Linked DNA regions of Mytilus edulis. The protein of the gene in region 4 purifies or fractionates together with the protein of the main gene of each other region. This does not show direct contact. Links are inferred from orthologs where the notes say so. Each region holds a gene or a part of one and is shown on either strand. Other genes may lie near its edges. The genes, in order: anaphase-promoting complex subunit 1-like, heat shock factor protein-like, syntaxin-binding protein 4-like and serine/threonine-protein kinase PLK1-like.

Evidence for each region.
Region 1: the proteins of serine/threonine-protein kinase PLK1-like (region 4) and anaphase-promoting complex subunit 1-like purify together in Homo sapiens (affinity purification with mass spectrometry; 3 studies listed by BioGRID and IntAct, with this or other methods). This does not show direct contact. The link is inferred for Mytilus edulis from reciprocal best matches to the Homo sapiens genes PLK1 and ANAPC1.
Region 2: the proteins of serine/threonine-protein kinase PLK1-like (region 4) and heat shock factor protein-like purify together in Homo sapiens (affinity purification with western blotting; 3 studies listed by BioGRID and IntAct, with this or other methods). This does not show direct contact. The link is inferred for Mytilus edulis from reciprocal best matches to the Homo sapiens genes PLK1 and HSF1.
Region 3: the proteins of serine/threonine-protein kinase PLK1-like (region 4) and syntaxin-binding protein 4-like purify together in Homo sapiens (affinity purification with mass spectrometry; 3 studies listed by BioGRID and IntAct, counting the BioPlex papers as one, with this or other methods). This does not show direct contact. The link is inferred for Mytilus edulis from reciprocal best matches to the Homo sapiens genes PLK1 and STXBP4.

The regions. Positions count from the first base shown.
Region 1 is NC_092346.1:58,240,506-58,248,088, reverse strand, and holds the start of anaphase-promoting complex subunit 1-like, read left to right. Parts: upstream 1-4,575; 5' UTR 4,576-4,773; intron 4,774-7,583. UniProt on the Homo sapiens protein: Component of the anaphase promoting complex/cyclosome (APC/C), a cell cycle-regulated E3 ubiquitin ligase that controls progression through mitosis and the G1 phase of the cell cycle.
Region 2 is NC_092348.1:32,811,097-32,818,205, forward strand, and holds the start of heat shock factor protein-like, read left to right. Parts: upstream 1-4,085; 5' UTR 4,086-4,125; coding exon 4,126-4,251; intron 4,252-7,024; coding exon 7,025-7,109. UniProt on the Homo sapiens protein: Functions as a stress-inducible and DNA-binding transcription factor that plays a central role in the transcriptional activation of the heat shock response (HSR), leading to the expression of a large class of molecular chaperones, heat shock proteins (HSPs), that protect cells from cellular insult damage.
Region 3 is NC_092351.1:86,283,192-86,290,799, reverse strand, and holds the start of syntaxin-binding protein 4-like, read left to right. Parts: upstream 1-4,582; 5' UTR 4,583-4,632; intron 4,633-7,608. Other genes in the region: ubiquitin-like protein 3, read right to left, coding at 2,045-2,153, 4,233-4,262. UniProt on the Homo sapiens protein: Plays a role in the translocation of transport vesicles from the cytoplasm to the plasma membrane. Inhibits the translocation of SLC2A4 from intracellular vesicles to the plasma membrane by STX4A binding and preventing the interaction between STX4A and VAMP2.
Region 4 is NC_092350.1:30,189,791-30,196,805, reverse strand, and holds the start of serine/threonine-protein kinase PLK1-like, read left to right. Parts: upstream 1-4,002; 5' UTR 4,003-4,180; coding exon 4,181-4,285; intron 4,286-6,738; coding exon 6,739-6,846; intron 6,847-7,015. Other genes in the region: PIN2/TERF1-interacting telomerase inhibitor 1-like, read right to left, coding at 234-339, 761-917, 1,708-1,830, 3,706-3,778. UniProt on the Homo sapiens protein: Serine/threonine-protein kinase that performs several important functions throughout M phase of the cell cycle, including the regulation of centrosome maturation and spindle assembly, the removal of cohesins from chromosome arms, the inactivation of anaphase-promoting complex/cyclosome (APC/C) inhibitors, and the regulation of mitotic exit and cytokinesis.

The DNA.
Region 1 (7,583 bases), on a different chromosome or scaffold from region 4:
TCCAATGATATTGTTTTCATATGTAAAAGCCATTATTTACAATGTCTCACAACAGAGCTTGGAATAAACATCACAACTGGTAATCCTACATATTCTTTAACATCATTTTCTTTGGATGAAATTTTACAAAATCACAAATCTGTTCTTCTTTCTTTTGGTATCATATCAAATAAATCGAAGAAAATTTACCATCATTATACTGGATACCAAAACTTCACAAAACTCCATATAAAGAACGATACATAGCTGGATCATCAAAATATTCGACTAAACATCTTTGTAAATTACAGACTACTATTCTTTCTACAGTAAAAGATGGCCTTCAAAAATATTGTGATGATATATATTCTACCAACGGTGTTACCCAGACGTGGCTTCTCAAAAATTCTAAAGATCTACTGAATAATCTTAGATCACAAAATCTGCAATTTTGTAGCAACGTTAAGACTTTTGATTTTTCTACGCTTTACATTATTATTCCCCATGCTCAATTGAAAGATCGACTTCACCATCTCAATAAACAGAGCTTTTTCTATAAAAGTGGGAATCGTAGATACAAATTTCTTGTTTCGGGTTATAATAATTCTTATTTTGTGAAGAACCACAATGAAACTACCAGAAAAGATATTGAAGGTGATACTATCAAAATGCTGGACTTTTTGATCGACAATATATTTGTTGAGTTTGGAGGGTTGATAATTCAATAGACAGTCGGCATTCCAATGGCTACTTATGGTGCATCCCTACTGGTCGATTAGTTTTTGTACTCGTATGAAGCAGAATTCATTCAGAACCTTCTAAAAACAAAAACAAAAAGCACCTTGCAAAATACTTTCAGATATATTGATGATGTCCTATCACTGAATAACCCATATTTCAGTCAATACTTACATATCATATATCCAGGTGAACTTGAAATTAAGGATACTGCTGATACTAGAAGGACTGCTTCATACCTTGATCTTTTTCTCAATATTGAAACAGATGGACAACTTCACACTAAAATCTATGACAAACGGGACGATTTCAACTTCCCAATTATCAATTACCCATTTCTCAGCAATAACACACCCTCTGTCCCTTCGTATGGTGTTTACATAATTCAGTTAATAGGTTATGCTCGTGCATGTTCACATTAAACGGACTTCATATACAGGAGTGTGCTCCTTACGCAGAAACTGCACCAACAAAATGAGGAGAAACGATTAAAATGACTCTCCGTAAATTTTATGGACACCATCACGAATTGGTTGATCCATACGATGTGTCTCTGTATAAACTAACTAGGGACAGTTTTCCACGTCTTTGTTTGCCATTTACGTCGTCTTGTCTTTTTAAAAGAACCGAACGTGACCTATTCCCGAATTTGACTGTTTTGCTGAGTGTGATTTCGCATTACTATAAAACGTCTCAGGGTACTTTGATGTCAAAAATTAATTTATTTAATTATGATGTTGTATTTGTAATTCAGATCGGATATTGTTAAATGTGTTGTCGTTTGTAGTTGTAATTCTATTTTTTTAATATGTTATTCGTATGTAAAGATAATTAATCACCCAGATCATTATAAGAGGTTAGTTTGGCAATTTAAGACATACCGACATAGCGAGATAATACAATTAATTATCTAATTACTAACACAATTCTATATTAATAGAATTGTAATTGTTACATCATACATCAAATACCATAAATACAAACCTGATTTTGAATAATATGAAAAAAAAATGAAATTACATGTGATGTCACTTTTGCTGTGACGTCACTTTTGTAGCGTTATCATCGTGTGACAATGCAGGAGTGGTGATACCCCACCTACGATAGTAGAGGGGCATTATGTTTCTGGTCTGTGCGTCTGTCCGTCTGTCCCGCTTCAAGTTAAAGTTTTGGTTTTTCTAATTTTAATGTCAAATTAGAGTTTTTACCCCAAATTCTCGGTTCACTGAACAAATAAAATGATAGTTCACCCACCATTTTATATTAAAATGCCCTGTACCAAATCAGGAAAATTGCAGTTTTTATCTTATAGTTAGTTTCTGTGTGTGTTTTGTCGATTTTTTTGTTTGTTGCACTGCAGTGTTTCTGTTGTTTCGTTGTTTTTCCCTTATAGTTGATGTGTTTACCTCAGTTTTGGTTTGTCTCTAAATCGATTACTGACTTTCGAACAGCGGTATTCTACTGTTGCCTTTATTTAATGGACTTCTCGTGTTGATACGCCTGTTTACGGGACTTATTACGGTGAACCATTGTTGACAATGATTATCTAAGTTTATCTGATTTTATCTGTAAAATGTAATAAAACGAGCAAATGTAATACATCGAGTGAACTGGTTGATAGATTTGACAAATCGAATAGAATGGAATTGTGATAATTTAGGAACTCGTCAACCAGTTAACAGGATAAAAAGGTCCGCATAGTTGAGGGACTGTCAATCAGTCAACATGATCACAGGGATAGGTCACAGTTGACCAAATTAACCTTCAACATTATTGGAATATGTGTTGTGGTACCTGTCTGTACAATAGATTAATGTTTAAATTGCCAGAAGTTCTAATGACATTTTAGTTAGGTTGATTATTAAGGTCGGTAGTATCGTTTAAAACGTTATTACACATCGAGGAATACATGCACAAAGTTATATATGAGTTCCATCGCATAGAAGAGCATACGCACAGTTTCGGTGTGGTGTTGCTTCGATCAGCCTAGAGACTGGACGATTTGAGAGGCTACCTTTGCAACAACGGACCTACGAAACCTGTAAAAACCTTATTGAAACTGAGGAACATGTTTTGTTGAGAGTGTCCGTTGTACGATGATCTGCGAAATGAACTTTTTAAAATTATTTTGTCAGAACACTCAAACGTTTTAAACTTTTCTAATCTGGATAAATTGTCTATTGTTCTAGCCAGTAACTGTGATAGTATTATTATTTATAGTGCCAAAATCTGCAAATTTATTTTAGATAGAAGACGTCGTAATTTCATTGGCAGGAACCATACATCTGTATGCATTACTTGATCAGCATATCTCTTTTTATGTGCCATAGATAATTTCGATGAAAAGCTGAATTTTCAATTGACTAAGAGCTGGTGTTATTCTGATGCTGGAATTTTAAATGACCAAAGTTTCACGGTAGTTCAATGCAGACTGAAAGCGGCCCTTTTCTCGAGCTGCTTCCATTTTTTTTACCCAAGCACTTTTGGAAAGGAACTTCCTTTTTCCATGTATATACATCTGTGTTTTTTTTTTGTTTTTTTTTTTAATGTTTTCTAAAGTTAATATTCCTTGATAATTTGACTTATTTTCGCGTATTAGATGTTTCCTGACTCGTATCTATACGATTTTACAATTACACTATTTGTATTTGATGTAAAACCGTATAGATAAGACATAGAACACACGAAATACGTGAAGATGAGATTAAGGAATATATGTTAAAAAAATTAAAACACATAAAATGTCCAGTTATCCACCAGATTGTTTTTAGCTCACCTGGCCATGCAGCAAACATACAAAATGTCCAGTAAAGTAAGCTCTACAAATAAGTCGGAATTATCAAATTGTTAATTGGTCCCTTTAAAGTCAATTTTTCACAATTTATCGTAAATTTTTGCTATCTTTTACAATAATCTTTCCCTCTGAAACTACTTGGCCAAGTGGCTTTCATGTTGATCCGGCCCCACGTCGATCCGGCCAAACGTCGATCTGGCCCCAAGAAAAATATTTTTATAAGGTATAAAAATAAAGATATATATTAATTGTAATTTCATAAATGTTTATGAATTTTGTTATAATGTAAAAGGTGAACTGCAGTACGGTAAAAAAGGCCTTTGAAATATTAATTGTCTTTTAATTACATGAGTATAAAACAACTAGGTTGATTATGTTTTCATTACAAGTTTTCAAGATTATTGTGTATAGTTATATTAAAAACCAGAGACATATATAATACAATATGTATTATATGTCTCTGTAAAAACGTATATAACAGAATTTAAGACAATCAACATAAATCAACAGGTGTCAGTCTGGGTTGCCCACTTTTAATAGAGAACAGTTGATTGATTTGCCGAATCCTTTTTGAAAATGTGCATTCAATGTAATTGTTTATCCTTATCATTTATTGTGTCTATAGATGGAGATAACTGTAACTTACAGCAACACTGTTCAGTAAAGTAAGATCTACAAACAAGGCAGAATCAAGTCACCATCACCAAAATAGAGAATATTGTTATGAATTCTATTCTTGTCTCTATATTAATGCTATAGAGTGTCCGGCCTTTGTTTAATATGCACTGGATCACAATGACATAGACCAGAGACATATATACACATGTATATATGTCTCTGCATAGACCAAGGTGAGCGACCCATGCTGTTTAGAGCCTCAAGTTTATTATTATTACTAACATGCATGAGAACCAAACAAGGCATGTTTGTTCACTGATAGATTCCATTTTATTAAAATTACTGACCATATCGTCAAAATTCGTAGCGCTTATTTCGACTATTTCGCCCTTTATATTTTACAGCTAAATCCGGATGTGTTGCATAGTTGATCGGGATTTGTTTTTGTATATTACATTTGTGTTTTCCGGTTTAATAATTTGGCAGAATTTTTCGAACAGCAAAGAATTTCATCTGAGCATGATACATTAGTGCTTATCGCCTATAAAATAGTGTTTATATAAAGCACAAGTAAAATCAAACCACTATAAAGGAACTGTGGCTGGATGTATAAAGACGAATTGAAAACCAATGCTTTTTTACTGGTAAATTTATGAATATAATGTTTACCATGTTCAATAATAAAATAGACAGGCTAACCAACTTTATAATAATACTACAAAAAAATAGAACTTAAAAAAGACCATTACAAACTAAACAATGAAGCACACAACTGTACAAGTGAACTTTGCAAGACTGTGGGAGCAATCGCAATAGGCATGATGAAGACATAATCTTTCAATCAGTTTAATTGAGGTCTGGAGCTAGCATGTCAGTTAACTGCTAGTAGTCTGTTGTTATTTATGTATTATTGTCATTTTATTTATTTTCTTTTGTTACATCTTTTGACATCGGACCCTGAATTCTCTTGAACTGAATTTTAATGTGTGTATTGTTATGCGTTTACTTTTCTACATTGGCTAGAGGTATAGGGGGAGGGTTGAGATCTCATAAATATGTTTAACCCCGCCGCAATTTTGCGCCTGTCCCAAGTTAGGATCCTCTGGCCTTTGTTCGTCTTGTATGATTTTCAATTTTAGTTTCTTGTGTATAATTCAGAGTTTAGTATGACGTCCATTATCACTTTACTAGTACACATATTTTTAGGGGCCAGATGAAGGACACCTACGGGTGCGGGAATTCTCGCTACATTGAAGACCCATTGGTGTCCTTCGGTTGTTGTCTGCTCTATGGTCGGGTTGTTGTCGCTTTGACACATTCCCCATTTCCTTTCTCAATTTTATTGCCAGTCAGGGGACTTACTTAAAAAAGTGATTTTCTAAATCACTGATTCAAGTAACATTATTTCCATAAAGGTTGGAAGTTAGAGTTGTCTTTCTTTAATAATCACCTATTTAAGTAGTACAAATTAATCACTAGAAGAAGTGATTTAATATTAGTGGAGCTTTAAATATAGAATACTAATAATCCAGGGACTAATTATGTTTCTAAACTTATCAGAACCAACATCTGTGTTGTCTAGGATGACCAGGTCATTTCAGGTGATGACCTTGTACTGAATCTAGGATAATGACATAAAAATCACTTGTTTAAGTATCAGACCTCAATTTCCTTCCCAAAAATCACTTCTTTAAGTATCATTCTTTTAATAACCCCAACTAATTTCAACACCCCCGAACAGTGAAATTTTTATCGCGAACAGTAGAATTTTATTACCTTGAACTTCACAGGAAAATTACTCCCACTGCTGTGAAAAATCTTTTAAGAAAGTATCAGTTCATTATGTAAAGCCATTATTATAGCATTTTTTCAACTAAAATAGAATTTTCAGGTAAATGATAGCATCAAAGACATAAACCTTGCTACTCAAAAGAAGCAAAAAGTTCATATTTTTTAATTTTACTAATTTAAAGATGTTATTTAAACCTATGTGTTTAAAAGTTTGAAAAAACTACAAAATCCCATTTGTGACAAAACCTCGAATTTGCTACTCAAATAAGTGATTTAAAAATCACTTATTTCAGTAAGTCCCCTGACTGATTGCCATCTGTTGACCAACCTGCAGAAAGTGTTATCAATCTGACTGAAAACGATGTTCAATTTTATATGTACTAATTACTACACCAACCAAAAGGATCACTTACATGACCCAGTCAGGGCTCACGCTACCAGGCGACTTGGGCGAAGAAGTCGCCTTCCCGACCGTCACTTCGCTTTCCCCGACCCCCAAAAGCGATAACAAGTCGCCCTGTTCTTGACGAAAGTCGCTTTTAGTCGCTTCCGTCATCGGACATTTTCAATTTTTTACTGATAATTAAAGAAATTCAGACATAAACTATTCATTATCTTTAGAAAAGAGGTTGAAGCATTGTCTTCGCAGTGTGTATCAGGTTATTTGATAAAAATACAACTTTTTATCACTTCGTGCATTTTCGCAAGTTCCGGTGCTTGTTACTAGAAAAAACGTACATCAACCTAAATTTCGGCAGCAAAATAAGTTTGTTACTTCATTTAAACGTGATAAAAGTTGCCTCCAGTAAATGTTTAATCCATTTATTGCATTAAAACCGTCATGTTCCTTTCCAAATAACTTGTCAAACATCGTTTATTTTTGTAAATTTTCTTGCATTCGTCCGCCATTGACCGATTTCTAAACTACACATCTGAACCGGACCAGCTATGACCGAAATCCGTACTTTTACAATAATTACTACGGACGCACGGATGGAACAGCTGACAGAAGAATATTGATCCCAAAGGGAAAAATTACGCATCCCACACGCATTAAGAGACTTTTGGTTACATCTAATTGATTGGTGTATATAATTCCCTATATTTTTTATGAATGTTTCAAACTATTGATTAAAGTTGCTTAACTCTGAGACTGTTATACTAATATCAATATATTATGGCCCAGCTTAATAACTTTTATATTTTTTTTTTATGAGAAACACTGAATTTCATACACAAGATAATTTTTAATTAAATTGTAATTGATATAATTTCTTTACATTTTTTAAAATAAATTTTTTTTTTAGTGCTAGATATTTAGTTGGTAGTTTCTCACAAGAACCTTAGTAAAACTTTAACAACTTTTAATTTCAAATGTTACTTTAATTGTAATTTTTTACTCATATGAATTGATCAACATAAAAAGAACATTATTTACATATGGCCCTTTATACTATTGTAAAATCCAAACAGATTGTAGCGCACCCGCGCGAATGAGCACTTCTCTTTCAAATCTCACCACTTCTCCCTATCAGTTTCAAAAAGAGAAGTCACTTCTCCCTATAATTCTGAAGTAGTGTGAGCCCTGCCCAGTAACAAATAAATCTCAACTACACAAATGCAGAATCATTGACAATGCACAGTTTGTACTACATCATTCCTG
Region 2 (7,109 bases), on a different chromosome or scaffold from region 4:
TCCAAGGCCGTATATTTTGCCGTTTTATTTTTATTTTTACTTATTATATTAACGTGCTTTAGTGTTTTTTCTGTAGACTTACATGATTTACCAATTAGCAAATACAGTCTTTTAAGCTACAAAGAAAATCATTGAAAACCATAGTGTTGCATTAGCGGAACCCCTACTTGGAAATCGCTTTTTTTTCTTTTTTTTTATAAAGAAAATTCTGCAACTGCTGAGACGCCTGCTGAATCTAAGGATATTCCAACTTTATTTCCACATCTGTATCTAGTGCTTAAATAAAAACCGAAACCCACCTAGTTCTTTTCCTTTTACGAAAACAAGAAATCTACGGGTTGAAAAGATGTTTCAAATATGCGTGGCTGCACTATTTCCAATGGATTGTCCCTTCAACTACGCAGGACGGAGTTTGCTGCAAATTTTGCAATTTGTTCGCTACTGACCACAACCTCGTACAGTTTGTTAAGAAACCAGTTCAGAACTGGATAAAAGCAAATGATGAATGAAAATCTCAGCACAATTAGACTTTACTCACACACATGAAAAGCCAGCTATAGTGGAATAGACGCAAGGGCTGATACAGCTGAGCAATTGCAAAAATGGGCGGATAAGATCTGTGATTAAATAACAAAAGTAATTTTTAAATAGCCATAGAAGATGCGGTATGAGTGCCAATGAGACAACTCTCCATCCAAGTCACAATTCTGGGACTTATCATTTTTTACCTGGGAAAGGGAGGGGGGCTGGTCAAAATACAGGGGGTCAAGTTTTTTTCTGTATGTGGAAAAGTGGGGTTCAAATTTTGTTTATAAATTCAAAGTGGAGGATCAATATTTTATGCATATGGAAATGAGAGTTTACATACTTAAAGTTAAAGAGACAAAATGTCAAGAAGAACAATCAAATGGAAAAATAGTTTTACCACCATTCATGTACTGTAACAATTAAGTAAAACAACACATGACTTTGGTGATGTAGGAATCTGCAATTTTGTGTCATTTTGTTCCATATAAAATGCATTGGCGCTTCATAACACGAATAATCATGTCGTTATATTCAGCCACTCACGTCAATCACTACATTAACAAGCATTACTTCATAGTTTTGTTATAATCACCTGGACAGTTTGAGAGAAGTGAAGTGTAAATCTTAAGGAAATCTAACAGCGATTTGTGCAAAGTTGTGTCAAACAATTCAAATCACGCCGCATCATGTATAATATAGTGTAGAGTAATAAATTCTCCAATAAATGATCAAATATTCATCTAATCTGCATAAAAACTGTTAAATGTTGACACAAAGATGATTCTGAGACGATGAACATCACTTATATACCTTTATGTTTTCATTATAAGATCCTTTTGGGTCCATTTTTATACCTCTCATTCCCTCAAAATTTGTACATTTTAGGCTAATAATATTTTTTTTGGAGTTACATTCACACATTTATGAATGAAATGTGACAATTATGAGTATTTGATTGTTCAAGCTGAAAGCATAAACTATCCACTCAAGGGATCGAGATTTCAATAACGTAAAACTTAAGTTTACGCAGCGTTCTTGCGAGAGCCAGAGTTACTTAGGAACAAGCTTTCTTTAATAGCCCAATATAGGAGATAAGGAGGAAAAGGTCAGAAAAAGCTTCCAAAAGCACTGGCTTGCTCTACCTAATGATATTCATGGAAGAGTCCTAGGCTATTTCATGGCAATGTTCCTTCAAATATGTTTTTGGACTCAATCCACTAAGAATATTTCATGTTTGCAATATTTCCGTAAAATAATATGATAAGTGTTTTGCATGTTTTAAAACATTTGGGTATGTTTAATAGTGGGGATCAGATTCTTTTAAATATTTGTATGAGGGGATCAAATAAAAATCTCTCCCCCCCCCCCGCTTTAAGCCCTGGATACGCGTCTGTTTTGTTAGTGTATTTTAAGGTAGATTTATCCTTTTTCCTGGGGGGGGGGAATAAATGTCAAAAGATAGAATGTTTTAGTGATTTGCAAAAATGTAGTGTGTATCTTGCTGTTTCAAAATAAAATATAATAAAAAAAGTATGGGTCACGCATAAGGGGGGTTAGCTGTTAAATTCATGTTCATTGATTTGATTTAAATTATCTTATTTTTTTAAATTTACATACTAAAACGTTTTTTCCAAATTATACTGAAAAGTCTAAACAATTTAAGGTGCATGTACCTGATAGTCCTGATACTTTATTCATTAATTATAACCGCATTCAGTCGAGTGTATTTTATTCTATTTATTGACGTCATCTAATTAACCATCTTGGTGACCTCCGAACACTGTCCGACAGTCATATTACACGATATCAACAGTTGATGGTAAATATAAATACTAGATATCAAACACTAGCAAATTGAACTCGTAACTTATGGCCCTTAATTCACGGTAAGATTATGTAAAGATTGTACATACACTTTTGTGGGAACAGAAAGACAATTACGTTAAGAAGCAACATATAAATGCAACATGAACAAAAAAAAGATAGCACCAGAAAATACAAAGAAAAATGATGGAAACGGTGGAAGACTTCCATTTCTTATTATAGATTAAAAATCTGAGACATCAATCGCGATAAATAATATAGAATCACATATTATGTTAAACATTTCTTCTGTGTACATCATCATAGTACTTTTACAATTTCATATTAGATATCAAGTCGACGACATGGGTATCTTTCAAGTTGGATGTAGAAAATGCATAACCTCCGATTTTATTATTTTTTTTACCACGGACGGAAAACATATCAATCTATTAGTTCACTAATTTTCGTGTCTACCCTTCCATTATGTGACTCAAGAAAAAATTCCAAAAAAAGGGTAACAATTGTATCGAAAAGAGAAAATCGAGTGCACCTTTTTATGTTAGGGCGTGTTTGAGTTGAACATTTTGTCTCGATATCGTACAAAGCAAGAATATTTCATACATCGTCTCGCTTCAGTTTCTATCATTTTTACATATCAAAGCTACAGGTTGACTTTATAACATAAGAAAATCACAGTGCTAAAAAATGAAATATATGGGTCAAGTGAAATACCTCTCTAATGAATCACAAAAACAGATTCGAATAGCTATTTTTTTTACTAAAAGTACTTGACGACAGTCTTTCAAGTTGGATGATGAAAATGCATATCTTCGAAAAAAAATTATATTTTTTTTGTGTGTGATAACTAGGGTTTATAGTCTTGACTTCAACCACTAAAAAAATCTAGTCTGCCCTTCCACGAAATATTTAATTAATTTTTTTTTAAATGTTTATGAATTTTCGAAAATTCCACCTGACAACCGATCAGACAATAGTTTTAAGTTGAATCAATGCAGACAAGATCATTAACTGATGCCCATTTTCTAGTTGATACATTTGTCTTTTAAAATACAACTGGCATATCAGGATCGTAATGGTGCAACCGATGTGGATAAATTTATCGGTTTCCAAGAGCAAAATTGGCAGAGACGGTCATCCCTACAATGAGGGGGGATAGGAGGGGTCCTGATCCCGAAATCCCGGACTTAAAAAAACGAAATCCCGAGGTCCCGAATTTAAATAAAGTAAATCCCGACGTCCCGAAATCCGAAAAAAAGGATTCCCGGATCCCGAGAGGGTCAATCCCGAAATCCCGAGCTTAAAAACACCCGATCCCGGAGTCCCGATAAAGGTCCTATCCCCCCTCTACAATGGCTTCCATTTCTACGATTGTGAAAATGAACTGGCGTAATGGGGAGATAATTTTGACGAAGTTGAATCCTGACTGTATTAGAAACTGTTTGTTTGACGATCAGATTATAATATTTTTAATCAAGGCCGACCGGCCGACAATCGGTGAAATGCAGACTTCGGTAAAGTTCGGACAGTTGACAAGATCACATTAAATGAACCCTTTAATCTAAATTAAAACATTGCACCATGTAAATTCTGGATCATATAATAACAGCTCATCTTAGCAAAAATCAATTATTTTTGTTTTTGTTTTATATGAATATCTAGAAATTATGTTATAGAACTTTTTGAAAGAAAAAGTGCCGAAATATATTCCATCTTCGTATAGTGTTGATTCGATCGGCACATGCGCTAACAGAAAAAATAACTGAATTCGTGATGTCGGATATGTACATTGTGAATAACACTTCTCAAAACATGCCTAGCACTGTTCCAGCCTTTCTAACAAAGCTATGGACACTTGTAGAAAACCCTATGGTCGATGATTTGATTTGTTGGGGCGAGGTAAACTACAACAACATGACATAATCAATAAATACATAAAAAAGGGGGAGGGTACTATTAGGATCAAATTCAGTCTACTTAGTTTACCTGTTGATTTAAAAAGTTGTTGTCCGTCAACGTAATAACGAAAAAAAAACCCACTGAAATTGAGACATGTGTGATATAATGATCTTTATTTGATATATGATTAATTTTCCAACAAAACTGAAAAAGTTATATCCTACCGTAGTCTAAAATCGGTCATCTTGTCAGTTTGTTAGGTATTTGTGTTTGAACTTAACACACGGGGAAACTACACATTGACGTCACTACGCTACTTCCTGAATAGAAAAACACTGCAGAATACGTTTTTTCTGCTCTTTTGAATAAAAAAACATTTCTAAAGGTAAGTTTTCATTGTTGTTCTCAATTATGGCTAAAAAATGCCAATTTTCTATAGTCGCCGTCATGTAAAATTGGCACCATGTTTTTGTCAAAATTTTCTTAAATATCGACCGCGTTTATTAAAGATCATGTTTTTGAATTAGCGTAATCAAATATCATTCCAAAAATCAACTACTGTCCTACCTTTTATTGTGTTTGCACTGTATAATCCTGACCTTCACATAATCCAAGATTAATTTGTATGGTGGAATCCGACATAGTTATTACCGGAAGTATTCCACGTGCTCTCCATTTTCTTGTGTCTCTCGGAGCTTTTCGTCATCTTTACGTAAAAAGCGCGGGAAATTGTATCATCAATGACAATGATATTACCGGAGAGTAACGAATGTTATGGAATAAGGGACCCTCATAGAAACCAAGATGGCGGTTATACAATGTAAATAATCTTGAAAAATGTGAAGGTCAGGATTATACAGTGCAAACACAATAAAAGGTAGGACAGTAGTGGATATTTGGACAGGATTTTACTTCAGCTAAAAGAAAAACACCATCTTGAGTAAACGCGGCTGATATTTAAAAAAATTTTAACAAAAAACAGGGTGCCAATTTTACGTGACGTGGACTATAATGCCCGTTTCAATCCTGACTTTCGAATTCTAAAAACATTCTAGAACTTCACAAAATCCCACTTCCGGCCTCAATTGCTTTGTGTGTCATTCCATTCAGCGTCATCAATCTTGTGGCAGGCAATATAAGTCAAGCAAATTGTATTTTTAAGAATTTCAAAATGACATGCTCCCTACGTCTTTCGCAATTTTCCCGCGAAAAAAGCCCAACCAAAATGAAAGGAAAACTATATGAAAAAACGATGTCCATGCCATAATTTTGGTCAGGAATATAAAGTAGGTTAATAAAAAACAATTTACATTTATTTTTCATAGAATTTTTTTTTTATTCATTATAAAAGATCGATATTCTGACCATCATGACTGTAAATGGTAAATATTCATACAAAATTCCATTGATGAGGATGGCAAAAAATGAGGTTTCCTGTTGAATAAAACCCCAAATTATTGCAAACTACATGTATTTTAAAGCAATATCCCACAAACAAATAACGTAATTGCGGTAGACTGAAAAATCACCTACATTTGTAATTGACAGTAGAGCAATTTGATTGGGTAGAACGATTTTACATCACGTGATTTTGACGCCATTGGAATTTGAATGTAAACAAAGCAAGGTCAGTAGGTTCAGTATGGGGCAGCATCGTACATTGAGTTACTGAGAAACAATTATGAGTTACCAAGCTTGACAATGCATGGTAATAAAAAATCAAAGCTAAGTCTACAGAAAAAAATATAAAAAAATGTCCTTAGGATAACGACTTACCAACATTCCAGGATAAGTTATATATATCCTTATAAATTATTCTTGACATGTAGTGCATGGGTCACCACACCAGTGTAAAAAGACGATATTATAGTCCTAAGATTCCTTACTGCTCTTAAGAAGCATGAGGGAGAAGTTTGTGTCACCCTTGATTTTCAATAAAATTATAACACAGACTGACAGAGGTCCCGATTTCATGTCCCGGTGGAGACCTGCGATTTTGCAAGAAGAATCATGCTCTCTGGTTACATTGGCGACCATTGAGCTTGATTCTAATATCCACTTGTCATTAATTAATTATTACCTGTTAAACCAGGTGAATTTCAAGGAACTGCAACAAAGACACATGACCCAATTTATCCAACTCCAAGTTCAAAATTCAGGTTTATTTGATTGCTATCTTCTCTTTTAAATGAAAAGACAGGATTGTTTGCTCAACTTGTTCAAACAGAGAACCTATTTTCAATTTAATTTTATTAAAAGAAGGGATCTTGCGATTCGAAGGCATATAGCTCCTGTTTATGTGCAGCAAGATTTGCTTACTCTTCAGTTACAACTTAGGTTACTCGCTGCATTTGGTGGGGTGAGGGTTGCTCAGTCTTTGGTTTTCTATGTTTGTGTTTTTTTTATGTACAATGATGCAATCGACATCTCAATCCCTTTTGAATTTAGATTCTGAAGTAAAATGCTAGTTTGCTGTCCTGAGAATCACTTAATTAATCCCAATTAAATCTATTTAGGAAAATCTTTGCCACCTATAAAATGTACCTGGTCTCAAATCTGTGCCTTTTACATCTACAGCACCACACCGTACACCTGACACTAGCATTTGTTTTACTCTTGTGCTAAGGAGGAAAAAACACTTCCCTGGACCCTGGAATCAAATGACTTGGAATGCTGGTAATGTGTTGATGTTTTCTGTTTAATTGATTATATAATCTTGTTAGTTTTACTGTGTTTTTTTCTGTGATGCTAACATGTTGTATTTTTATTTCAGAATGGAACCAGTTTCCATGTTTATGATCAAGGCAGATTTGCAAAAGACATTCTACCACATTACTTCAAACACAGTAATATTGCCA
Region 3 (7,608 bases), on a different chromosome or scaffold from region 4:
TGTGTCATGTGTGTGTTTCAACTGACAATGTCTTTCTGTGGCATGTGTGTGTTTCATCTGGCAATGTCTTTCTGTGGCATGTGTGTGTTTCAACTGGCAATGTCTGTCTGTGTCATGTGTGTGTTTCATCGGACAATGTATTTCTGTGGCATGTGTGTGTTTCAACTGACAATGTCTTTCTGTGTCATGTGTGTGTTTCAACTGGCAATGTCTTTCTGTGTCATGTGTGTGTTTCAACTGACAATGTCTTTCTGTGGCATATGTGTGTTTCAACTGGCAATGTCTTTCTGTGGCATGTGTGTGTTTCAACTGGTAATGTCTGTCCGTGTCATGTGTGTGTTTCATCGGACAATGTATTTCTGTGGCATGTGTGTGTTTCAACTGACAATGTCTTTCTGTGTCATGTGTGTGTTTCAACTGGCAATGTCTTTCTGTGTCATGTGTGTGTTTCAACTGACAATGTCTTTCCGTGTCATGTGTGTGTTTCATCGGACAATGCATTTCTGTGGCATGTGTGTGTTTCAACTGACAATGTCTTTCTGTGTCATGTTTGTGTTTCATCTGACAATGTCTTTCTGTGTCAAGTGTGTGTTTCATCTGACAATGTCTTTCTGTGTCATGTGTGTGTTTCAACTGACAATGTCTTTCTGTGGCATGTGTGTGTTTCATCTGGCAATGTCTTTCTGTGGCATGTGTGTGTTTCAACTGGCAATGTCTGTCCGTGTCATGTGTGTGTTTCATCGGACAATGTATTTTTGTGGCATGTGTGTGTTTCAACTGACAATGTCTTTCTGTGTCATGTGTGTGTTTCAACTGGCAATTTCTTTCTGTGTCATGTGTGTGTTTCAACTGACAATGTCTTTCCGTGTCATGTGTGTGTTTCATCGGACAATGTATTTCTGTGGCATGTGTGTGTTTCAACTGACAATGTCTTTCTGTGTCATGTTTGTGTTTCATCTGACAATGTCTTTCTGTGTCAAGTGTGTGTTTCATCTGACAATGTCTTTCTGTGTCATGTATGTTTCAACTGGTAATGTCTTTCCGTGTCATGTGTGTGTTTCATTGGACAATGTCTTTCTGTGTCATGTGTGTGTTTCAACTGACAATGTCCTTCTGTGTCATGTGTGTGATTTAACTGGCAATGTCTTTCTGTGTCATGAGTGTGTTTCAACTGACAATGTCATTCTGTGTCATGTGTGTGATTTAACTGGCAATGTCTTTCTGTGTCATGTGTGTGTTTCAACTAGCATTGTCTTTCTGTGTGTTTAACTTCAGTCTTCACCCAGGCTGGTAAAATTGCTCTCAGGCCTGTAAAAATCAGACCTACAGGCCAACAGAATCTAACTAAAAATTTTCAAAAATTGAGATGCGGGTCTGTAGATTTAGCAGTTCAGCGTGAAGACTGTAACTTACATGACTTACCAATGTCTCGATGTAAATAACAACAGAAATATACCTATATGCATATGACAGGGTCATAAATCAGGACACGAACACACACAATTTTAAAATAAATATCGGAACACCCTGAATAGATATTTAAGACTGTTCATCTTATGTGTTCTTTGTAAAATTTCTTGTAAATTTTTGTGTAAATCAATGAATAAAAGGAATCTGTTACATGTATGAAGGAGGAACAGTTACCAACTGAAAGGACTGCATAGCCAGTCAAGGTCATTAAAAACTTTCATCATCAAAGGAACAGTTGTCATTTTTGCTTGTACTGTACATCATTTACATATTGTTATATTTCAAATTTAATCTAGGTGTGGATTTAAGATTTTATGTTGGGGGAAACTCCAATCATTTAGCAGATAAGAGTGTTAAATATTAACATAAAATTGGATTTGATTTTAACATGTTTAATAATGAATTACATTTTCATCTGTTATAAAGTGGTGCCCCCTAGCATGATTCTTCATTTTATTTATTGTTAGGACCTTCGCAGCCATTACCATTATACATGTTATACTTAAAATTGTAAACATTCACTTTATTATAGTATACACATAAAATTCTATAAACGTGATAAATATGAACATACCTGTTGGCCAGTTTGTATAAACATGATCGGTTATATCTGCCGCTGAATCATTCGGTAAAAACAAAAATTCTTTTGTCTTGCCACTAACCAGTATAAGTCTAAGGTTTATCTGAAATTGAAAATACAAATATTGCATTAAAATTACTTGACTTAATTATAAGCTAAAGTGGTGCTGTAGAAGGAAGGATTTGGGTCTATATATATACATGATATATATACATGTACATATATGTTATTACCAAGAAAACCCCTAGTAGAGAGGCCAGGCCTATATAATAACAAGAAATTATAGTGTACAATTGACCTATTTGTAAAGATCTTGTCAAGACGAGCATTTTGAGCCCTAGATTTTTTAGCTTGTCTGTCGAGTCCAAAATTTAGTCATTTCTAATTGTTTGTGTGACAAGTTCGCCAATGTTTGACATATCTATGTTATAATGTCTTGCTGATCATTTCTGACATTGAAAGTTACACTTTATCAATCCTGTCTATTACATGTTAGTATTACATGTAGTATGATTAGTGAAAATCAAATTATCGTCAATAATCTAGGAAATGGTTAAATTCATTAGACTTTGAAGGGAAATAACTCAGAACTGTCCTCTTTTCCTTAACTGTGACAACATTGTCATTGAATTTATACTTACATGTGTACATGTACATTGTACAGTGAATCACTGATTGTACATAATTGCAACATAATTGTCACATGCGAGGTAGGATTGTATATGTGCAACATATTTGTCACATGTGAAGCAAGATTTGCTTTCCCTAAGAAGCAACGGCCATAACCCCAGGTTTATGGAGGGGTTCATGTTGCTCAATCTTTAGTAAAACAATTTATGGAAAGTGTATAAAAAAATGTTGTTTGTATTTTGCCATGGACATGATGGAGTAGTCAGTTCGTTTTCTGTTTAACTTTACCCTCTTCTTCCAGTCATTTAGAGGCCACCATCCACTGGTTGACTATCCTACCACATTTTTGGAGTGCACAGAATCACAGTCTTTTCACCCCAAAACATAGTCCCGCCCTTTCACTTTTGCACCTACATGACCTAGAGCCTGTTTGCACACTTTTAATCAACACAATCAATGGTTTTGTGTTTTTCTCAGTGTAAAATGCTATAAATATCTTTTTTTCCCATTATTTCGAAATAAAGTTAGATTCTGACAGGTTTCTTTGTCAGGTCTATAATAATTATTGTTAACATTATTTTTGGAAAATGTTTAACATAATTCATCAAAAACAGGTGATTCTTATGTCCTCTAAAAGAAAGTGTACATTTTATCTTCACGCACCGGAAAAACTTGGTCAATTATGTGTGTCATTATGATGTCATTTATCAGTATCAGATAGAGGGGATCGCCTGTATCCCTGCACTATTAATATTCATCAAGCGTCTTAGTGATCATCATTGTGCAGGATAAACTATAAATAATGTTTGTTGTGTAAGTACTTAATCACAATTCCCGTATGACAGCAGTTCAGATTGACAATTATGAGATTTTAATTTGCCAAATAATTCGTGCAATATCTAGTATTATAGTTTTTCAACCACTCACTCAACATTCATGACATTAGAACAGAAGTGACGATGCCCCTAAACACAGGGATGATGTTCACTAAAACCAGAGTTTTTGACGAAAATGCACCACTAATGATGTATATTGTCTCTTTGAAACATGTAACATACATATGTTATCACAGTTCTTTGATTTTTTAGTCCACAATAACAAATGTATGTTATTTTCCTGTAATAACCCTATCATTTTGCCTATAGAATGATAGAGTTACATCCCTGACTGATGTGTACTTGAATAAAATTTTGGTGCATGCATGCAATTTGGGTGCTAGGAGTAGGATGCGAACAGACCTAGGGGGCAAACGTGTGTGGTGCGAACATGTTTTAGTGGCAACTGACCGGATATTGAGTGCATGCAAAAAATAACAAAAACTGGGTGAAATTTTTGTCAGTATATGAGCTTGAATTTCCCTTCACGGATATCGGGGGAATGCAATAAAAGATAAATAGTTACTAGTTGTATGAAATGTTGATTTTCTATAAAATCGACAATCTTGATTTAATTTAACTCATTTGCAGGGTTCATAAAGTTCACTGTTCAGCAAAGAAAAGGACACATTTTTTTGCATGCATAGCTAACCTACTATATTTTTAACAAAAGTTACCTTATCCACAGGTACGCCTCTTGATCCCATATTCTAACAAAACAAATATATGAAGCGTGTTTTTATTTTATTTAACTTGTTGAGGAAACAGGATAGCAAAGTGTCAGTGACAGTGGTTTTGTTGTGACACCGTTTTGTTTATTTTTCAGCTTGCGATTGTTTTGTCATCATTTTGATTTCTAAGTAGACAGTACATTTCTGGGAGACTTAGTTTAAGCTTATTGAAATATATAATCATAAATAGTTCCAAATCATCCTTGCTTTGTAGTAGATCTTTGTTTGAGCCGATAAACAACTTCTCTCAGCTGTTATGGCGGCCGTTAGATGAATCTCGGGAAAATTAGCAATTTGCGCCTGCGTAGTAGGGTGATACTTGTTTCCGGTTCGAAAAAATAACTTTGTAAGTTCTAATGTGAGGGGGGATAGGACCTTTATCGGGACTCCGGGATCGGGTGTTTTTAAGCTCGGGATTTCGGGATTTACTCCTTCGGGATCCGGGAATTCTTTTTTTCAAATTTCGGGATCCGGGATTTAACTTTATTTAAATTCGGGACCTCGGGATTTCGTGTTTTTAAGCCCGTGATTTCGGGATCAGGACCCCTCCTACCCCCCCCCTAATGTTGATATGGTTTAAAGTTTATATTACATATACCTTGTTTATTTGCAGCTATTTTATTCAAAGAATAATTCAAAAAAACGGTTTAGGTTGCATCACAAACTGTATTCATGAGATATTGTCAAGTTTTATCACATACCATAAATTTATTTTACCTGTCCATAATTTTTTGGGGGCAGGCACACAGGCACTTGTTTCTATCCATACGAAGGTCGACTATATAGTAAGACTTACTATACAAATCCTTGACAGTAGTCCTAATAATTATGACATCTTGAAAGTCTATTATATTTTTTCTTTGACGCCCCACATCGCAGGAATGCATCAAAGCAAAAAATTAACATAGCCTTCCAAGACGTCATAATTATTTGGACTACATGTAGGTTGACAGCAGCATGCTTCATGTTTACAATTTTATAACATGTTCTTGCATAGTCACTTTACTACCGTTCAGATCTATAACCTGTTAGTGTTAATCATAAACAGTCAGGGGACTTACTTAAATGAGTGATTTTCTAAATCACTGATTCAAGTAACATTATTTCCACAAAGGTTGGAAGTTAGAGTTGTCTTTAGCTTTCTTTAATAATCACCTATTTAAGTAGTACAAATTAATCACTAGAAGAAGTGATTTAATTTTATTGTAGCTTTAAATATAGAATACTGATGATCCAGAGACTAATTATGTTTCTAAAATTATCAGAATCAACATCTGTGTTGGTAGGATGACCAGGTCATTTCAGGTGATGACCTTGTACTGAATCTAGAATAATGACATAAAAATCACTTGTTTAAGTATCATACCTCAATTTCCTTCCCAAAAATCACATCTTTAAGTATCATTATTTTAAATGTGTTTTATGAATTTATTTCAATCTGAATCATCAATTGCTTCGTCTGTTGAAACCTTTACGTTTTTTTCTCAGTACCGTTTTGTTTTAATAAAGGGATGTAACACCACTACTAACCGTGTATGAAATAAGCCTGCCTCCCTACTACCTTATATGGAATATAAAAGGAGGTAACACCACTACTAACCATGTATGAAATAAGCCCCGCCTCCATACTACCTTACTAACTGTGCACATTTCTGAAAAATTTGCTAAAATAAAGGACTTGTACACATGGTACATGAATGATATCATAATAAAACTTATCAATTCAATCTTCTAAATCATTAACTAATTCATAAATATTTGTTGGATTTCGAGGTTAAAGTCAATTTGATGAACAAATTACAATTTTATAAATGACTGTATACAAACTTTGGCAAAACCAAGAAATTAGATATCACCTCAATCCACGAAGGTACCCAAGCAAATAAATAAATCCTCAGACTATATATATATATATATGTCATGTATGTTAAAGTATTATCATGATCATGTGACTAAGATTACCTGAAAACAGCTTTGTGTGTCTGTTCTGTGTTGCCTCCATCTGGTATTATCCACTGAACTATTACTTGTCGTACATAATATGCGATCCATAAGGTAGATTTAGAATAAGTATAGATTTTTGTCGAGCCTTCGACTTTAGTCGAAAAAGCGAGACTAAGCGATCCTACATTCCGTCGGCGTCGGCGTCGTCGGCGGCGTCAACAAATATTCACTCTGTGGTTAAAGTTTTTGAAATTTTAATAACTTTCTTAAACTATACTGGATTTCTACCAAACTTTGACAGAAGCTTGTTTATGATCATAAGATAGTATCCAGAAGTAAATTTTGTAAAAATAAAATTCCATTTTTTCCGTATTTTACTATAAATGGACTTAGTTTTTTCTGCGGGGAAACAAAACATTCACTCTGTGGTTAAAGTTTTTAGAATTTTAATAACTTTCTCAAACTATCCTGGGTTTGTACCAAACTTGGACAGAAGCTTGTTTATGATCATAAGATAATATCCAGAAGTAAATTTTGTAAAAATAAAATTCCATTTTTTCCGTATTTTACTTATAAATGGACTTAGTTTTTTCTGCGGGGAAACATTACATTCACTCTGTGGTTAAAGTTTTTAGAATTTTAATAACTTTCTTTAACTATCCTGGGTTTGTACCAAACTTGGACAGAAGCTTGTTTATGATCATAAGATAGTATCCAGAAGAAAATTTTGTAAAAATAAAATTCAATTTTTTCCGTATTTTACTTATAAATGGACTTAGTTTTTTCTGCAGGGAACCATTACATTCACTCTGTGGTTAAAGTTTTTAAAATTTAAATAACTTTCTTAAACTATCCTGGGTTTGTACCAAACTTGGAAATAACCTTATTTATGATCATAAGATTGTATCCAGAAGTAAAGTTTGTAAAAAGATTACTCTGTTTTTTTCTGTAATTTACTTTCAAATGGACTTAGATTTTCTTACAATCATAAAATAGTAACAAGAGGAATATTTTTATTGATTTTTTTCCTCATTGTTGTTGAGCCTGTGATTTACAGCAAAAATAGGCGAGACACTGGGTTCCGCGGAACCCTTACAAATTTTTGGTAATAGTAACACCTTCATTTATTGCTCATCAGCTCTCATGCTCCTTGATATCAAGCTAGCTTGTCCAATCAGAAAAAATCTTTTTAGCCTTACTCTTTTGACTCGGCTTACCTTTTCCATTTGTTTTCGGTCTCCACTGATTTTCTCAATATTTGAAATATATTGATTTTATTATTTTTTTATAGTTTTTCACGTGTCTAATTAACATGTCTAACATGTCATGCATGTTGTACATGTCTCAAAGCTAATTTTGACAGAATTCACACATACAT
Region 4 (7,015 bases):
GTGTAATAAACTAAGTTGATGCGAGTACAACTTCATGGTAAACTACCTTGACCAAACACTTAGTAAGGGACAGAAAGATAGACCAGAAATTATAATGCCCCCCCCCCCCCCCCCCTAATATTGTTTGTGGCATATAAAACCTCTCTTTATGTACATTTCATTCATTCTGAGATCTAGATAGTTTTCTTATTTAAACATTTCAATTTATGTAGAATTTGGAAATTGATTCTAACCGAGACTACGGTATCCTCTGTTTTTGTTGTACGTCTACCAAATATACAATCAAGGTCTTGACTGGATTTTGCAGAAAGGTCTTTACCTTTTGTAAACTTCTGGTAACTGAAATATTTTAAGATAAATCACTGAAAAAGTAGAGAGCATGATATCATTTACTAATGGAAAATTGTACACATTTTAGTATGTTTGCCAGTTACATGTATCTACAAAGTTGTTATAAATACAAATGTAAATATTACAAATTAGTTTTTCATATGTACACATTACATCTGGTACTAATGAAGTTGTAAATTCAATCATGTATATGGTTCGTGTTGAGAAATTACTTTATGAAATGTAATAGATTTTCTGAACAATGTTACAAGCTGTAGGTGTATTATAATCAAACAAATGATGATTCATAAAAATCAAGATTGTAAAGACAAGAAACAAACTTATGATGTCTAATAAATAGAAATAGACAATATCTTTAAACAAGCAAGATTATAAAATTATTTCTTAGCTTATGAACAAACAAACTTACTGTACACGACTTTTAGATGTTTTTGATCTGTTTTCAAGACTGGATACCTTTTCAGTATCAATCTGTGTATTAGATTGATTAAGGTTAGCTAGGAGAGCATTGAAGTCGTCCTGATGTGCTATCCAGTTATCTACTTGACTTTTAGAACATCCAAGACCTTAAAAATAAACATTGCAATAGATATCAAATTAATATATATAAATAGATATCTGTGTTGACTTGAGTTATCATTGATATGTTCATAATTATAAATTAACTGTTAACTAAACTGAATTTTTGAAATCAAAGGCTTTTCTACCTCAGGAATAGATTACCTTAACTGTATTTGGCAATTTTTTTAGGAATTTTGGTTCTAAATGTTTTAAACTTCGTACTTTATTTGGCCTTTTTAAAAAATTTTGATTCGAGCGTCAATTTTTAGTTTTTGATTTATTTTCGTGTGTTTAATTTTGGCAATTTCATTGGAGGCACCAAAAAAGCCAAAATAAAACTACAACCAAAATAACCCAATTTAAGGTATTTGTAATTATGTACTTTGCAGACCAAGTTTTTTCTTGTTAGAAAAGTATTTTTCCGCAGGTTTTGGTGTAACTATATGTTCAGTGTACTGGCAGTATGAATGTCTAAGTTGTTTTTGTACTTGACGTTTGAGTTGCTTATATATATGTTTATATGTTTTTTTCATCTCTGGGTGTTCAATAGACTCGGGGACTAGTTGGTTAAGTTTTGTTTTTAATTCTTGCCAAGGTTCATCAACAAAATATGTTTTTAGATTTTCTTATATTATATTATTTAAGTTATTTACTTCTTTGTTTATTGTGCCCAAGTTTGCCTTGTTGTAAAATGGTACAGTTCTTGGTGTCTATTTTAGCTAAATAATACAGAACATCAAAGATTTTCATCTTTCAGTTCATATCATATAACTAACAGACAGAATAAATACTAACCATGATTGTCATTTTTCAGAGATACTTTTACATGATCTGTTAGCCCATCTTCGTTTGCCCCAAGTCCCTTTCCTTTAGACCATCCAAACTTCTCCAACATTTTCTGTCCAAATTTAGATTCATCTGAAATATTTCAAAAAGTTTTATGTTAATTGTGATTTTTGAAATCTAAAATCAAATTCCTCATTTTCCAGATCAGTGATATTGTTTTTCTTAAATTACTGGAGAATAAAGGCTTTTTCCCCTGGAGAAGAATCCCAATTTGAAAATAAAATGGCTTAAAATTATTCCCAAAAAGACAATTTTTTTCCCAAACAGTGCAGTCAAGTAGTAATTGTGCATGAATACAAACTGAAAAACACTCATTTAAACATTTTTCATGCCTTAAAATTACTATATGTACAGATTTCAGGGTCTATTTATGTATCATCACTGACAATAAGGGCTTTTATTTCAAATGAGGGTTTACCTCTTAAAAGGGGATCTGCAAATTGAAGTTCCAGTCAAATTCATGGTTTATTACAAATTTCCCAATTTGATACAAATGATGCATATCTTCCCAATAAAAAAGGGTAGAGGTAGTTATGAAAAAAGCCAACAATATCACTGCAGATGCAATTTGAGTGTATCTTGATTATGGTTCATCAAAAGGATTGACAAATGTTACCCTCATGTGAAGTCAAGGTCATAAAACATCCCCTAGCTATAGTAGACAAATATGTTTATACCACAAAATCTACTCTCAAGAGGACAGATATGCATTGCATTTAAGAAAGTCTACCCAGTTAAACAGTTTAAATTCCCTATTACTATGGTGAATATTTCTATTGCCACTCAATTGTGCATGTCAATCAAAACATTCCATTTAATTCATTATTTTATGGGAATTCCAACTTGAAACTACTTTGAAGGAACAGTAAAATACACACAGTAAAATCCTGTTCAGTTTTTAGTTAAACTGGTTTCAAATTTGATTCAAAATTCATCAACTGCTCCAGTTGAACTGGGGTCATTTGATGGGAAACTCGCAACAGGCCTTGAGACAGACAGAAAGAAATTTACTTTAAGAGACATAAAATTTCCACAAAAAAGCACCAATTGGAGGATCACGTATTAACTCAGCTCATAACGAACTAAGACTAAATAAAATATCTCATAAAATTAGCCTGTAAGTTACATGTATATTGCATACTCCAACTACTAGAAGAATTTTATTGTGATGGACAATGTTGTTCATCTTATTTGAAATAAATTATTTGTTAACATATTTTATATTATAAAAACTTTTTTTCTTTAACAGATTACATGAAAGCAATAAGCAAGGATGTTAACAAAATAAATAGATGAACATTAAGACTTATGTCAGTTAATTTAAAGTATTGAAAAGCCATCACTGCCGTAAGTATGGTAAGGGTCAAAGTTAATAAAGAATTTTAATTTAAATAAAAACAGCTGAATACAGCAATGTGTACAGTTGGACACCTTTTCAAATACCTTTAAAATAATTAATGAAAAACGTAGTGTACACACCAATTTAATTACCTTATTACTGACAGTTGTACTATTGACACATGTTCTATCAACCATAAAACTAATTAAGAAGATAACTACGTGTTGTCACATGACTGTTTAAGAACCAAATATCAACTGACTTTACAACTACTGGGGTGCCTATGTGTGTTATTGGCACATGTTTGTTAGTGTACTTTGGGTTAAATTTGAATGCAAACTATGATTATATTATAGTTTATTCAGATCATGATATATATACAATCAATTCGTGCCCAAACAGAATACTGTCCAGCATACAAAATGACAGTAACAAGAGATACAAATGTACAGTATACAAAATAAGTCATCATAACTTTAGTTCAACTTCAGGAACACGTGGTAAATAACAGTTCATTTTTATTTTGCTTCCCGTACTTCTCTTTATTTTGACAATGTGGTAATGAAAGAGTGACATATATAGACAATTCTTCTGTAAACCCCCAATACCTTTACTCCAGTTTGAACCTCTTGGGTCAATAGATAGCTTTTGTTTTCTTCGAGGTTCTGCAAGCATTGACATTTTTGTGTATTGCAATCTTCAACTTCCGGTATTATTTTTAGATATCAGAATTTTGATTGGTCTACTTCAATACTATTCAACCAATTAAATAGTATGAATAGTCGTCTGTGTATTGCATGGAAAATATCCGAGGTATTCCAAAAGGTGACAAGAAACAACATGTCCACCTGGCGGAGCCAATTGACCAATCAAAAGTGCGGTTTTAAGATCTGACCAATCAAATTATTGTTGATTTGAATACCTTCCGAAGTACTCAAATTTGAAATTCGTCTGTGAAGTTGAATGGAGACTACGATATTTTTGAAAAATAGAGACAACTCTTTTTAAAATACTACTGCGGTGAAATAATCTCTCATGCTTTTTTCTTTTACCTGACCTACGCATCCAAATAGAAATATCAAAATGTCTAGCGCGAGAAGAGAAGAGATGAAAAAAGATATAATTCCTGACATGGTTGTGGATCCAAGCTCAGGGAAACGATATTTGAAAGGAAGATTTCTCGGAAAGGTAACACATTTGAATCTAAATAAAAAATTCTATGCCTTTTACTTACATATTAGAATTTCAATAAAAGAGTTTACTCAATATATACATTTTTAAAAGTAATTTGATACCTTTACCTTATTATTTTATTGATTATGCAAGTTATGACATGTCTAAGATTTGTGTTATGATAGTATAACAAATAAAAAATACACAAATTTCAAAATTATTCATCTATGAAAAGTCAATTTTAAAAATGTTTCGCGTGATTTCAATATAAGGAAACAAACCTGATAATTATTTTACCTTTCTTTGTATAATTTTCTAAGCTGAGATTTTGGCAAAGATCCAGAATTTTATATGTTTAACATTGTTAACATACAGCTGATTTCTTTATGCTAAAAAAAAATTAATACACATATTTGGAAATCTGTCCTGGTTGACCCGAGATTCTGTCCCATTGAACTTTTGACCTCATACAACAATCGCTTTTCCATTGTGGCTTCAGATTTTTTTGTATCATGGCATGGTCATTATAATTTGTGCAATCCAGTAATGGTGGAAAATATCCATAAGGTGTATCGGATATCAATCACATCTTTAACCTAGTAGAATTTGAATGTAAGGAGGTTGAGGATTGGGGGAACATCCTAAACCATATCCAAAAGGCAAAACAGTCTGCCAAACTTTTAGGTTTTGTTTGACTGAAAAAGAAATTTGAAGTTTTTCCACTATATATTCACCTAAAAAATTTGAGGATGTCTGTCTGACCGAATGAATTTTTGTCTGACATTTTGTCAGTTAGACAGAGTTTGGAATACACTGCAAAATCGGGAAATTTACAGTGAAAAAACTGATCTCCACTCCAGATAATAATGAAGGTGTTCAAGATGTTTTGGGTATCAAATTTTAGGGATATAAAAATAAATTAGATATCAGATATTTGCTGTCATGGTACGAACATTAAGGTTAATCATTATTTGGCCCCAAGACACCATGGCTGAATTATTATTGGTTCACAGAAATATGTGATAAAAGGAAGCATTTAATTAATTTAGACAAATCATTAAGGTGACTGTTGGTAATACACAGTATTAAATTTGTGAGGAGAAGGCATTTTTGTTGGCAATGACTGGACATCTAAATAGTCTTGTAAAATTTTGTAGTAATCATATCATTATAGACATAGAAAATATTGGCATCACTAAGGAAATTTGATTGTTGTATGACTTCATAATTCCAGTGTGTCAAGTTTTCAGTGAACTTGTTGCGCACAGATTTCCAAAATAGCAATATACAAAATTTGAAAAGTAACATTATGTACATTAAACCTGTGTTTAGCTTGCCATCAATAAATTATGCTTGCAGTGCACTACATTTTGTATAAATATTATATGTCTGTGCTAAAAACAGCCACCCTCATAATGATTTAAGATATATATATCCAGTGCAAAAATAAAGATTTATAGTTCTATGGGTAAAATATGGATTAGATATTTAAATGAAATTAATCCATTAAGAGCTTGTTTTTTACAAATCAGATTAACATGATTAACTAAACAAGATTTGTCTGCAATTAATTAAATGTCTATTCAGATCAATGGTTAGTTTTTGATTCACTGTACTTCTATAGACCAAAATAAAATATGTGTTTCTTGTAACTATTAAGAAATTGTGTTGTCTTCACCCCTTGTACATACATTGTATGGTGAAGTACAGTTCTGCTCTGCAAAAAAAAAGTTTACTATTATTTTTAATAGTATTTTTTTCCTAACATGCTGATAAGTTTTTTTTTTTATATATTTGTAACTTATAATTAGATATATATTTAGTGCTATATATAAAAAAGAAGATGTTGTATGATTGCCAATAAGACAACTATCCACAAAAGACCAAAATGACACAGACATTAACAACTATAGGTCACTGTACGGCCTTCAACAATGAGCAAAGCCCATACCGCATAGTCAGCTATAAAAGACCCCAATAAGACAATGTAAAACAATTCAAACGAGAAAACTAACGGCCTTACTTAGCTTTCTTACTGAAGATTTAATTAATTCCCAAAAATGTGGCTATGAAGATAAAAAAAAAAACGGACTAACTGCTGTACACTGTACTATCAAGTTGTATTATTGCCAATGAGACAATTTTTCATCAGAGTCCAAAGGATGTAAACAACTAAAGGGCGCACAACTGCCTTAAATCATGAAAAAGGGGGGGGGGGGGGGTATGATACAATATAGTATAAATAAAGCTTTTAAAGTTTCATATATAACAGTAAACTTAATCAATAAATGTGAAACAAATTCTTAGTATTAAACAAACATCTTGATATCATTTATGCTAAAAACAAATATAGCAGACAGCACCAAGGAATTATAGGTCCTGAATTATAGTTTTCCCCTTTTTACAGACACTGCAAAACATGAAGTGGAAGACACTGTAAATTTAAATGTTTTGTACCTTATTTACAGGGAGGATTTGCTAAATGCTACGAGTTGACAGATGTGGAAACAAAAGAACTATTTGCTGGGAAGGTTGTTCCCAAATCACTGCTGGTTAAACAACATCAGAAGGACAAGGTACTTTATATAATTATGTTTATTTACTCAATTATAAAAAAGCCAATAGAAATAATTGAAGTGTTTTGCATTTGTATCAAGAGTTCACTTGCATTGTGATCAGGCCCTTGCGAGTGAGAGGGATCAATTGCAAGGAAAGTCTAACTATTCAGGTTAGTTTCTTACATAA